Linked DNA regions of Saccharomyces cerevisiae S288C. Changing the gene in region 1 together with any one later gene gives a genetic interaction. Each region holds a gene or a part of one and is shown in the gene's direction. Other genes may lie near its edges.

Region 1 (3,414 bases):
ACGAAAATTGCAACCACTGGCTTACCGAACTGAGAGAGAACGCAGATGACAACGTGGCTGTTGGGTTGATAGGGAACAAATCAGATCTGGCTCATTTAAGAGCAGTACCAACCGATGAAGCGAAAAATTTCGCAATGGAAAACCAAATGTTATTTACTGAGACAAGTGCTTTAAATAGTGATAATGTAGATAAAGCATTTAGAGAACTGATCGTAGCCATCTTCCAAATGGTAAGCAAACATCAAGTAGACTTAAGCGGGTCGGGTACCAACAACATGGGCTCTAATGGCGCTCCAAAGGGTCCTACCATCAGCTTAACACCGGCACCAAAGGAAGACAAGAAGAAAAAATCCAGCAACTGTTGTTAAAAATTTTGTGCCCTACTAAGGTCGCATGGTTTCATGCATATTCTGTCTACATATAACCCCCGTTAATAATGCTTTTATAAATATAATCAATTACATATACCTTCCCAAGTTATTTATTACTAACCTTCGTTGCACGCAAGAAAAAATGTATTAACGTACATACATTTTCTAAATAGACCTTTCCTGACGCCTGCATTTTGCAATAGCCGAAGATAAGAATATGATTTTTTTTTTACGATTTAAATATTCTGTTGTTGTGCAGTCTAAAAACACACGTGTATGTTTTTTTCCGCACGCATGAGCAGAATTAGACGGTTTTATAAACGTTCGCTCTGTGTATTTCACGTACCTTCCCGGATACAAATTTCGTCATGGTTTATATTGGAAGTTTTTCCGAAATTGCGGGTTTTGAAGGTTTATCCGAGACGACGTGAGGGGTAGGCAGGAGAAGGAAGGCTGTTTACGTACGCAAGGATGGGGTACGACAATGATTCAATTTCTGTTGCTAAGTTTTTTGTTATTTTTTCATATTGGCCTACTCATCTTTGATATCATTATTTTTTCGAATCTACATTAGAGCGTGTTTCGGAAAACAAACTCGCTCGATACAGTAATTGCGTTTTATTTACGGAAATTACCGTTCTCGGTTCCAAGAAGGTTAGAAAAATCGGTTGTCGCTCTTTCTTTCCCCCACTTGTAAAAACAAAGAAAGTATAAAATAGTTTATGGCCCTTAAGGCAGGCCTTGTTGAATTTGAGCTATACCTACCCCAATGATAGTTCTGTGGTAGTTTGTTTGAATATGTAATATGAGAAGCACGATGGCAAACGATAATCTTCACTGAGCTGATTTACGAGCGACCATCATCTCCACGGTGCGAATTAATAAGCTGTGGCGATGTGCTGTAGTTGCCCTATCGCCCCTGCGGAGCTTGCGTCAACTAGCTCTCCCCTTTCCCCATTGAAGTTAGCGTATTACCATCAGTTAATGATTGATAGGCTCATACGAAGAAGAAAAAAAGCCGGGATAAGAAACCCCGCCTCCACTTTTTTGGCTCATCCGAAAATTTATCCGCGGAGACATCCACGGAGCACCCGCAAAACTGAAGTAATAACTCTAAATTATATGCCGCTGAGAAAAATCTCGTACGAGGATACGGTAAATAATCCGTGCGAGAAAGTTTTTCCGAAAATCATTCCCGGTCAAAAGCGTTTCTGGTATATAAGCGATTGGGAAACCCGTCTATAATACGTAGTAACTTACGATCTGCCTGTCAAATTGTGTGCTTGTCCTTGTACTATTACCATTGTGTAGCTTATCTTAACTCTCAATTAAGTTTTAACTCACGCTAAGACTATTGACCTCGAGAACAAACAAAATAAAAATAAAAAAAGAGAATGCCTAAAAAGCAAACGAATTTCCCAGTAGATAACGAAAACAGACCTTTTAGATGTGATACCTGTCACCGTGGTTTCCATCGGTTAGAACATAAAAAGAGACACTTGAGAACACACACTGGGGAAAAACCTCATCATTGCGCATTTCCTGGTTGTGGGAAAAGTTTCAGTAGAAGCGATGAACTGAAAAGGCACATGAGAACGCATACAGGGCAATCTCAAAGGAGATTGAAGAAAGCTAGCGTACAGAAACAGGAGTTTTTGACAGTAAGCGGAATTCCTACCATTGCATCGGGCGTGATGATACACCAACCAATACCGCAAGTCCTACCAGCAAATATGGCCATAAATGTTCAGGCAGTAAATGGAGGTAACATTATACACGCTCCCAATGCGGTGCACCCAATGGTGATACCAATCATGGCCCAACCAGCCCCCATTCATGCCTCCGCTGCATCTTTCCAGCCTGCAACTTCTCCTATGCCAATTTCTACATACACTCCAGTTCCATCGCAATCATTCACCTCTTTCCAGAGCTCTATTGGCTCCATACAGTCAAATAGTGATGTTTCATCTATCTTCTCGAACATGAATGTTCGCGTAAACACTCCACGCTCTGTGCCAAACTCTCCGAATGATGGATATTTACACCAGCAACATATCCCACAGCAGTATCAGCATCAAACTGCCAGCCCTTCTGTTGCCAAGCAGCAGAAAACTTTTGCACATTCTCTTGCATCTGCATTATCTACCTTACAAAAAAGAACGCCTGTAAGTGCCCCTTCCACCACTATAGAATCACCATCCTCACCAAGTGATTCCAGTCATACCTCTGCATCCAGCAGCGCTATCTCTTTGCCTTTCAGCAATGCTCCTTCTCAGCTCGCCGTGGCCAAAGAACTTGAGTCCGTCTATTTAGATTCCAATAGATACACCACCAAGACTAGGAGGGAAAGAGCAAAATTCGAAATTCCTGAAGAACAAGAAGAAGATACCAATAACAGCAGCAGTGGTAGTAATGAGGAGGAGCACGAGTCGCTAGATCATGAATCTAGCAAAAGCCGAAAGAAATTGTCAGGCGTAAAATTGCCGCCTGTACGTAACCTACTGAAACAAATTGATGTTTTCAACGGTCCCAAAAGAGTTTAACCTTTACGGCCCCTTTTTATCTCACCATTTTTCCTCTAACGAACTGTCATGAAACAACTTAGCATATAACGCGTACTTACATAGATAGATTAAATAGATAACCATGCATATCACTAACTAGCATCGTCATGAATAGCACGTTTACCTATACGAATTGCGGCCGGCATGGTCTTTTATATTGCTCCCTTGGACCGAGTAAAGATTTACCTTGCGTTTTCGGATCGTCAAAATCTTTTAGGGAAAGGATAAATACACCACAAGATTCCTGGGAAATGAAAAGTATCTGAAATAATTGTGCTTTTGGAAGGGTACTGAGAGCAGTGAAGTTTCTATGGGTACTACGACAAGTCATCCAGCCCAAAAAAAGCAAACAACAAAAAAGTGTCGTGCACCTATCATGAGTGACGTTAGAGAAAAACCCAGCAATGCTCAAGGCTGCGAACCGCAAGAAATGGATGCTGTGAGCAAGAAAGTTACTGAACTGAGCTTAAATAAATGTT
Region 2 (2,731 bases), on another chromosome or scaffold:
GATGCAGATTTCCAATTCAAAGACAGGTTTGATCCAAAAGCTACTAAGGCTTTGAAAACAAGATTGTGTGAATTGATTTATGACGCTTGTATTTTGGCCAAAAACGCTAATATGGATGTTTTTAACGCGTTGACTTCGCAAGATAATACATTGTTCTTGGATGATTTGAAGTTCGGGCCCGGTGACGGGTTCTTGAACTTCTATTTATTTAATTATAGAGCAAAGCCGATTACCGGTGGCTTGAATCCCGACAATAGTAACGACATTAAAAGGCGTAGCAATGTCGGTGTTGTTATGTTGTAGTGGCTGAAAGGACGAGGCGTATATAGTTTTCGTGTACATAGCCGACAGAATTTGACCACATTTAGTTTTTCCGCATAGTCAATTGACGAAGTGAAAAAATAATTAATCCAATGGCTGGCTTTAGAGTGTCAGCCTCCAAAATAAATCCAAAAATAGACAAAGAGAATCACTATAATTACCGCCTTGGAGTCCAAGTTGGCTTGAGAACTCGCATTTATTTTTAGCGACTGAGGTAGCTGAAAAACGCCTACTTTCTCAGAAGGCGGTAGTGAGCATATATAAGTATGTAAGAAAGATCAACTCTTCTGGACTAGATACTCACCGATCTAGTGAAAATATAAACAAACCCAACATATATATAAAATGAAGGCCTGTTCCATATTATTTACCACCTTAATTACTCTAGCCGCTGCTCAAAAAGACTCTGGTTCCTTAGATGGCCAGAACTCTGAAGATAGCTCACAAAAGGAAAGCTCAAACTCTCAAGAGATCACACCTACCACGACAAAGGAAGCCCAAGAAAGCGCATCAACTGTAGTTTCTACCGGAAAAAGCTTAGTACAAACTAGCAACGTCGTCAGCAACACCTATGCTGTGGCTCCAAGTACCACCGTAGTGACGACGGATGCACAAGGCAAAACCACGACACAGTACCTATGGTGGGTGGCCGAAAGCAACTCTGCCGTAAGCACAACTTCAACTGCCTCTGTGCAGCCCACCGGAGAGACGTCAAGCGGAATCACCAACTCCGCATCCTCCTCAACGACATCAACATCAACGGACGGGCCAGTTACTATAGTAACTACCACGAATTCGTTAGGTGAGACTTACACATCTACTGTTTGGTGGCTACCGTCCTCAGCCACAACTGACAACACGGCTTCATCAAGTAAATCATCTTCGGGATCCTCATCAAAACCGGAATCAAGCACCAAGGTAGTAAGCACTATCAAATCAACTTATACCACTACGTCAGGTTCTACAGTAGAGACACTGACCACTACATACAAGTCTACAGTCAACGGTAAGGTAGCGTCCGTAATGTCCAATTCTACCAATGGCGCCTTTGCCGGCACTCACATAGCTTATGGTGCGGGTGCATTCGCCGTTGGTGCCCTTTTGTTATAGAATGTATAATCAGTTCTGTATACCACCACATAGTTCTGCATTTTAATAAAACTCTTTCTTTTTATACACTGTAGGTAACCAATAATATAACTATTGTTATCATCGTGCTTGCGTATTTTTTTTCTTTCGGGTGAAAAACTCCGCAGTATTTCTCGCTCTCCCTGGATAATAAGCTAGAAAAAAAAAATATATATGACAGATGGATGAGTAATCATATTCAATAAGTATTGTCTGGCTTCTGAGACGGCGGTAAGATATCCTTAAGAGTTGCAATGGTCCTTTTACACAAAAGCACACATATATTTCCTACCGATTTTGCCTCTGTTTCACGCGCCTTTTTTAATAGATACCCCAATCCATACTCCCCCCATGTACTATCCATAGACACAATATCAAGGAACGTTGATCAAGAAGGAAATTTGCGCACAACGAGGCTGTTGAAAAAGTCCGGAAAGCTGCCCACATGGGTCAAACCCTTTTTAAGAGGTATAACAGAAACATGGATAATCGAAGTTTCCGTAGTGAACCCCGCTAACTCCACAATGAAAACTTACACTAGGAATCTGGATCACACTGGAATCATGAAGGTTGAAGAATATACTACCTATCAATTTGACAGTGCTACAAGTAGTACGATAGCAGACAGCCGGGTGAAGTTTTCAAGTGGCTTCAATATGGGTATCAAATCTAAGGTAGAGGATTGGTCGCGCACTAAATTTGACGAAAACGTTAAGAAAAGCAGAATGGGCATGGCATTTGTTATCCAAAAACTCGAAGAGGCGAGAAATCCTCAGTTTTGATGTTCCCATTTAAAGATCTTTAAAGATATCACCATGGGCGAGCGAAATTGAGAAAACTAGTGCAGCTCGCATTTGGTCACGTCCTAAAAATTGTAAATAAGCGCTGGTTCAACAAAATTTAATATACACACATATATAATTATTTATTTATAACAGTCATTCTGCTAAACTATACATCAAATGTCACTAATCTTGATATTATGGTCGTCCCTGTATCATATTAGACGAACACACCTGTTTTTGGGCATTTTCCGAATTTTTTTTTCATGCTAGCTAAGTCAGAAGTACTACATTAAAGAATTGAGAACTGACTGCTCCCACCATTCTTGAACTCTCGCTTTAAATTATCTTACTATCTTTTGAGTTCCTTGTAACTATTCTATCCTAACCACCACCTCAAAAAAAAAAAAGTAATAAAAATGTCTTGGGACGACGAAGCTATCAATGGTTCTATGGGTAATGATGACGCCGTTTTGATGGACTCATGGGATGCTGAAATT
Region 3 (2,760 bases), on another chromosome or scaffold:
GTGATTGTGGCCCAGGTGGAAAGTACATAGGCGACATTTGATAAGGTGTATACGGAATCATAGATGGGTGTCCGTAAAATGACCAACCAGATGGATTGGCTTGGTTTTGGGTCATCATGCACTGCTGTGGGTACGGCCCATTCTGTGGAGGTGGTACTGAAGCAGGTTGAGGAGAGGCATGATGGGGGTTCTCTGGAACAGCTGATGAAGCAGGTGTTGTTGTCTGTTGAGAGTTAGCCTTAGTGGAAGCCTTATCATATTCTTGAATTTTGGAAGCTGAAACGTCTAACGGATCTTGATTTGTGTGGACTTCCTTAGAAGTAACCGAAGCACAGGCGCTACCATGAGATATATGTGGGTAATTAGATAATTGTTGGGATTCCATTGTTGATAAAGGCTATAATATTAGGTATACAGAATATACTAGAAGTTCTCCTCGAGGATATAGGAATCCTCAAAATGGAATCTATATTTCTACATACTAATATTACGATTATTCCTCATTCCGTTTTATATGTTTATATTCATTGATCCTATTACATTATCAATCCTTGCGTTTCAGCTTCCTCTAACATCGATGACAGCTTCTCATAACTTATGTCATCATCTTAACACCGTATATGATAATATATTGATAATATAACTATTAGTTGATAGACGATAGTGGATTTTTATTCCAACAGAAGGTGATCTAAAGATTGAGAAACAGTCACCAGATTTAGGGGAAGCTGAAATGCAATGATTGATAATGTAATAAGAAGCGAGAGGGAAAGTATAAAAAGGAAGTGATCAATTTGTGAATAATTTGATAACCGTTGGGATTCTATTGTTCGCAAGGGCTTTATTTTATTATGTGTACAGAATATAATAAAATTTCCCCTGAGAGATATACCAATCCTCAAATTGGAATCGATACTCCTATATAATACAATTACAATTATTTCTCCCTCCCTTTCGTATGTTTCATTATCCTAGTACATTATCAATCCTTATATTTCTGCTTCCATTAAATTTTACGACTGTTTCTCAATGTTTAGATCATCTTCTTACACTGTATATGATAATGTACGAGTGGCATGAATACTACTGAACAGATGATATTTTATAGCTTCATTCCAACAGAAAGAACATAAAGTAATATCGTTACGTAAAACTATCGATTCCCTTTTGACGATTCCTACATCCTCGAGAAGAAGTTCTAGTATATTCTGTGTACCTAATATTGTAGGCTCTAACAACAATGGAATCCCAACAATTAATCATCTTGATTATTTTATTCCCCGCGTTTTAGAGCATCAATCTTGCCAGCTTATAGCTGGTCATTGTCGACGATAATCTCAAGCACAGGGCTAAAAAATAAATTGAAACGGACAGGAATTGAACCTGCAACCCTTCGATTGCAATCTTATTCCGTGGAATTTCCAAGATTTAATTGGAGTCGAAAGCTCTACCATTGAGCCACCGCTTCAACTTTTATTGTTTATATTGACACCTGTATAACAATATAACCACAATAAAAGGTTCATTCAAAGCTCCGGCTAGCATTCGGCGATTAATGAAGAAAGTTAAACCGTGATTTATTACTTCTTGCTCGTTTTTTCCATCATAAGTTCGCACAGAGCAGTATATATAGTGATTTGCAAATATGAATAGCGGTGGTAGTGATAGTTTCGATTATCTTCTTCAATTAACAAAAGCTTTAAGTGCAGAGTGTCGGGCTAACAGACAAGAGACCGATCGAATAGAACTATTGTTAAAGCGCCTTGCCAAACAGTCAGGAATATCTTATGATAATTTGAGCAAAAACATAATTCCAGATTCATGGAAAGATAATGCATCTCAAAAAGCATCTCCCCCCACTGAGGCACAGAAGCTTATCAGCGAAAATTTTAAACTCATATACGAGATTGAAAAACAAGAGTACTTCAATACAAAGGCTGTTGCGCTAATTAACAACATAAATGAGCATTTCTCATATATTAAAAATTTTATCGACGAACAGAATGCAATAAGAGAACGAAATATTGCCACATTTTCATCAGAGAAGCTTGATGAAAGGAACAAAAGTCTTCAACAAAATTACGAGTCATTGAAGACAGAAAATGAAGAAACAAAAAAAAAATTGCATTCAATTATCAAACAGTTTGAAAAACTTTTGAAGGAAGTGGATTGGGATCGTATATCTAAAGATTCCAGAGATTACAGCCGCTTTAAAAAACAGTTGGAATACCTGCAAGACACGTACCAGGTACTGAAATAGCCTACGATGGATCGAACAAAAGTGTAAGCAGACGTGAAATAGCAAACCTTTGAATGCATTTATATATTTTAATATACTTATAACAACGGATAAATGTTTAGATCCCTTTTGAAAAAAAAAAAAAATTAGGATGAACCGAAAAAAATCATACTCGTATTCCTCTATCGTCTTCACTGGCATTATTGTGTAAAGAATTATTACCAAATAACCACCTGAACCACCCCACAGTATCATTCTTTAAATCTTTAAAATAACGGCGGCTCAGCATCTTTAAACAAAGAGCTTCATAGGTGGGGTTGTTAGTGGTCATCAAATCATTTACGCATCTATCATATTCGTCTTTATCACTCTTGGGATCTATTGCAGAGCATATTCCAGTTTTACCCTGTCCCTGAAGAGAGCTTTTCAACCCAATTAATTTGGAATCAAACTGAGCAACACTACTTTCAATATCTCGTACACGAACTTCCAATATCCTCATATCATATTTCAACCTAGAT
Region 4 (3,571 bases), 340 kb from region 1:
GTAGTACGGCGTTAGAGTCAAGAAGTAGCTTATTATATCCTGTGCACAAATTTCAAAGTTTTTGCCGCCATCATATGGCTGAAAGAGGGCAGCAAATTCCATCTCGTTATTTTTGCATATCAACGCAAGCGTTACACAAGATATGGTTAGAAGCAACGAGCAGAAATTCATTACAATGACAGAAATTAATTGCCGTTGCAACATTGTTTTGCCTCTATCGCGTGTGTTTCCTTGAAGGCAGTGTATCACTGAATGTCATCAGTAATGTTACCAAGAATGAACATCCTCCAAATACTCATAGAAACCCGTTTAAAATTCGGGAATTGATGACTTCCTTATGGTAGGCAAGTGTGATTTACAGACTTTCCATGCGATGAACCCCTATTTTAATCGTATGGATCACCAGATCAAGAATTGGCAGTTCTGTCCCATTATTAGAATAGCGAGAAAACGGATGCTTTCATAATTTTTGATTGTTGCTTCATCCTATTTCACCCTATTTAATAGCCTTCTGTAGAAATATCGTGTATGGTTCCTTTATCATTGCTTAGCATAGCTGCCACTAACCTACATTAATCGACTTTTTCCCGGAAAATTAGCGGGTAATCGATTTTTCTAGATGGCATTGTGGAGGAAAGTAAGTGCGTGGGGTGTGTAAGTTGCCGTACAATGCAGTATAACCAGTAGGACTGGAAGGTAGTCAGTACAGTAAGACTAGAAGTTAGCGAGCCAGCACGTTTCCTTCGCGCCGGTTTTTTTTTTTATTTTTTATTTAATTTTTTTCAAAACTTGACGTGTAGAAGATTGACGTCTGGGGTTGGCCCCATGAATTTTTTATCTATTTCTTCCCTGTGCCTAATTCGTAATATCTCCACTGATAGCGTAAAAAAGCGCTTTATTTTTCCGAAAGTTGTGATGGCATTCCATACAGTTTATAGGATGGTAGCAAGTGATAAGAGCTTGGGGCCCACAATTAAGCAGCAGAAAAGCGCAATTGCGACACTAGCAGTGTAACTCGATAGGATTTTATGGAGTGTTGATGAATGTAGTTGCCATTATAATGGCTTCTCAGGAAACCTGTAGCGGCCGGGCCCCGCGAGAAACTCCAGAGTGGCGTAGGCCGGCTTGTTTAGTTGCTAGCATACTTGTTCGAGCTCTTGAGTTCTCCTGGCTTTTCTCCACGTGTCTGCTTGTTGCCTTTGATTTCGCGAGAGACTGCGGACTGCCACCCCACTCCGGGAAAACCTGGAGTGATGGTAAAGGCCCTGCGGCGCTTTCTTTCGGAAAAACTAATACGAAAGAAGCAACAACAAATTTTTACAACAGGCTGGACGAGAAAAGTGGGGAAGAGCAAGCAGAAAAAAGAAAAGAGAATAGTCGTTCTTGGATAATTTATTTATTATAACCCTTTTTTTTCACCCCAGTACTCATTAACGAAGACAAAGGAGAGTAAGAAAGCCCGGTAAAGCATTTCGAAGATAAGAGAGCCATTTATTCTAGCTCGCTTGTAACTACACGAGAGTTGAGTATAGTGGAGACGACATACTACCATAGCCATGCAAAGCCCATATCCAATGACACAAGTGTCTAACGTTGATGATGGGTCACTATTGAAGGAGAGTAAAAGCAAGTCCAAAGTAGCTGCGAAGTCAGAGGCGCCAAGACCACATGCTTGTCCTATCTGTCATAGAGCTTTTCACAGACTGGAACATCAGACGAGACACATGAGAATTCATACAGGTGAGAAGCCTCACGCGTGTGACTTCCCCGGATGTGTGAAAAGGTTCAGTAGAAGCGATGAACTGACGAGACACAGAAGAATTCATACAAACTCCCACCCTCGAGGTAAAAGAGGCAGAAAGAAGAAGGTTGTGGGCTCTCCAATAAATAGTGCTAGTTCTAGTGCTACCAGTATACCAGATTTAAATACGGCAAATTTTTCACCGCCATTACCACAGCAACACCTATCGCCTTTAATTCCTATTGCTATTGCTCCGAAAGAAAATTCAAGTCGATCTTCTACAAGAAAAGGTAGAAAAACCAAATTCGAAATCGGCGAAAGTGGTGGGAATGACCCATATATGGTTTCTTCTCCCAAAACGATGGCTAAGATTCCCGTCTCGGTGAAGCCTCCACCTTCTTTAGCACTGAATAATATGAACTACCAAACTTCATCCGCTTCCACTGCTTTGTCTTCGTTGAGCAATAGCCATAGTGGCAGTAGACTGAAACTGAACGCGTTATCGTCCCTACAAATGATGACGCCCATTGCTAGCAGTGCGCCAAGGACTGTTTTCATAGACGGTCCTGAACAGAAACAACTACAACAACAACAAAATTCTCTTTCACCACGTTATTCCAACACTGTTATATTACCAAGGCCGCGATCTTTAACGGATTTTCAAGGATTGAACAATGCAAATCCAAACAACAATGGAAGTCTCAGAGCACAAACTCAGAGTTCCGTACAGTTGAAGAGACCAAGTTCAGTTTTAAGTTTGAACGACTTGTTGGTTGGCCAAAGAAATACCAACGAATCTGACTCTGATTTTACTACTGGTGGTGAGGATGAAGAAGACGGACTAAAGGACCCGTCTAACTCTAGTATCGATAACCTTGAGCAAGACTATTTGCAAGAGCAATCAAGAAAGAAATCTAAGACTTCCACGCCCACGACAATGCTAAGTAGATCCACTAGTGGTACGAATTTGCACACTTTGGGGTATGTAATGAACCAAAATCACTTGCATTTCTCCTCATCATCTCCTGATTTCCAAAAGGAGTTGAACAACAGATTACTGAACGTTCAACAACAGCAGCAAGAGCAACATACCCTACTGCAATCACAAAATACGTCAAACCAAAGTCAAAATCAAAATCAAAATCAAATGATGGCTTCCAGTAGTTCGTTAAGTACAACCCCGTTATTATTGTCACCAAGGGTGAATATGATTAATACTGCTATATCCACCCAACAAACCCCCATTTCTCAGTCGGATTCACAAGTTCAAGAACTGGAAACATTACCACCCATAAGAAGTTTACCGTTGCCCTTCCCACACATGGACTGATACGCTGACAAGTTTTTGGCGGTGCAGATAAATCAAAAGACAATAGACAAGAATTAATAATATTAACAATTAATAATTAATAAATAATAAATAATAATAATAATAATAATAATAATAATAATAATAGTAATAATAATAATAATTAATAACGATAAAAATATTTAATTATGATAGTAAGAATACATATTTTGATTGTCTTAGTCTTCCGCAGAGATAATTAATTGTTCTCATTTTCAAAGTCATCTATATGTATTGATTGAGCTCTACTGTTGTTTTTAACTTTATTGTGGCCCCCTAAAATATAATTTTTACCAGTATTAACCATTTTGCTCTTATTAGTACTTTTACTGATGGTGGAACCCTTGAAATTTGTCATGGGCGATTCAATCCATAGATTGTTATTGCTGCTTCCACTAGTGTTCTTGTATGGAATTGGTGTCGTAGGTGCCGTAGTCATAGCATCGGTTGCTCTAGTTAAGGTGGTTGGTTGTCTCGTCATA

What was found.
Region 2: mutations in MIG2 (region 1) and UPS1 together harm fitness more than expected from each alone (negative genetic interaction), as found in Saccharomyces cerevisiae (2 studies listed by BioGRID).
Region 3: mutations in MIG2 (region 1) and FAR3 together harm fitness more than expected from each alone (negative genetic interaction), as found in Saccharomyces cerevisiae (2 studies listed by BioGRID).
Region 4: of MIG2 (region 1) and MIG1, changing one enhances a phenotype caused by changing the other (phenotypic enhancement), as found in Saccharomyces cerevisiae (10 studies listed by BioGRID, with this or other methods).

The regions. Positions count from the first base shown.
Region 1 is NC_001139.9:94,093-97,506, forward strand, and holds MIG2 (Mig2p), read left to right. Parts: upstream 1-1,765; coding exon 1,766-2,914; downstream 2,915-3,414. Other genes in the region: Rab family GTPase YPT32, read left to right, coding at 1-368; SIP2 (Sip2p), read left to right, coding at 3,246-3,414. UniProt on the Saccharomyces cerevisiae protein: Involved in glucose repression of the SUC2 gene.
Region 2 is NC_001144.5:539,509-542,239, reverse strand, and holds UPS1 (Ups1p), read left to right. Parts: upstream 1-1,703; coding exon 1,704-2,231; downstream 2,232-2,731. Other genes in the region: glycylpeptide N-tetradecanoyltransferase NMT1, read left to right, coding at 1-303; NCW2 (Ncw2p), read left to right, coding at 667-1,431; HCR1 (translation initiation factor eIF3 core subunit j), read left to right, coding at 2,651-2,731. UniProt on the Saccharomyces cerevisiae protein: Required for maintenance of normal mitochondrial morphology. Required for PCP1-dependent processing of MGM1.
Region 3 is NC_001145.3:377,941-380,700, forward strand, and holds FAR3 (Far3p), read left to right. Parts: upstream 1-1,645; coding exon 1,646-2,260; downstream 2,261-2,760. Other genes in the region: YMR051C (gag protein), read right to left, coding at 1-385; STB2 (Stb2p), read right to left, coding at 2,406-2,760. UniProt on the Saccharomyces cerevisiae protein: Participates in the control of the reentry into the cell cycle following pheromone treatment.
Region 4 is NC_001139.9:431,048-434,618, reverse strand, and holds MIG1 (transcription factor MIG1), read left to right. Parts: upstream 1-1,556; coding exon 1,557-3,071; downstream 3,072-3,571. Other genes in the region: YGL034C (uncharacterized protein), read left to right, coding at 1,040-1,405; VIR1 (Vir1p), read right to left, coding at 3,289-3,571. UniProt on the Saccharomyces cerevisiae protein: Involved in glucose repression of the SUC, GAL and MAL genes as well as of the CAT8 gene. Binds to two sites in the upstream region of SUC2.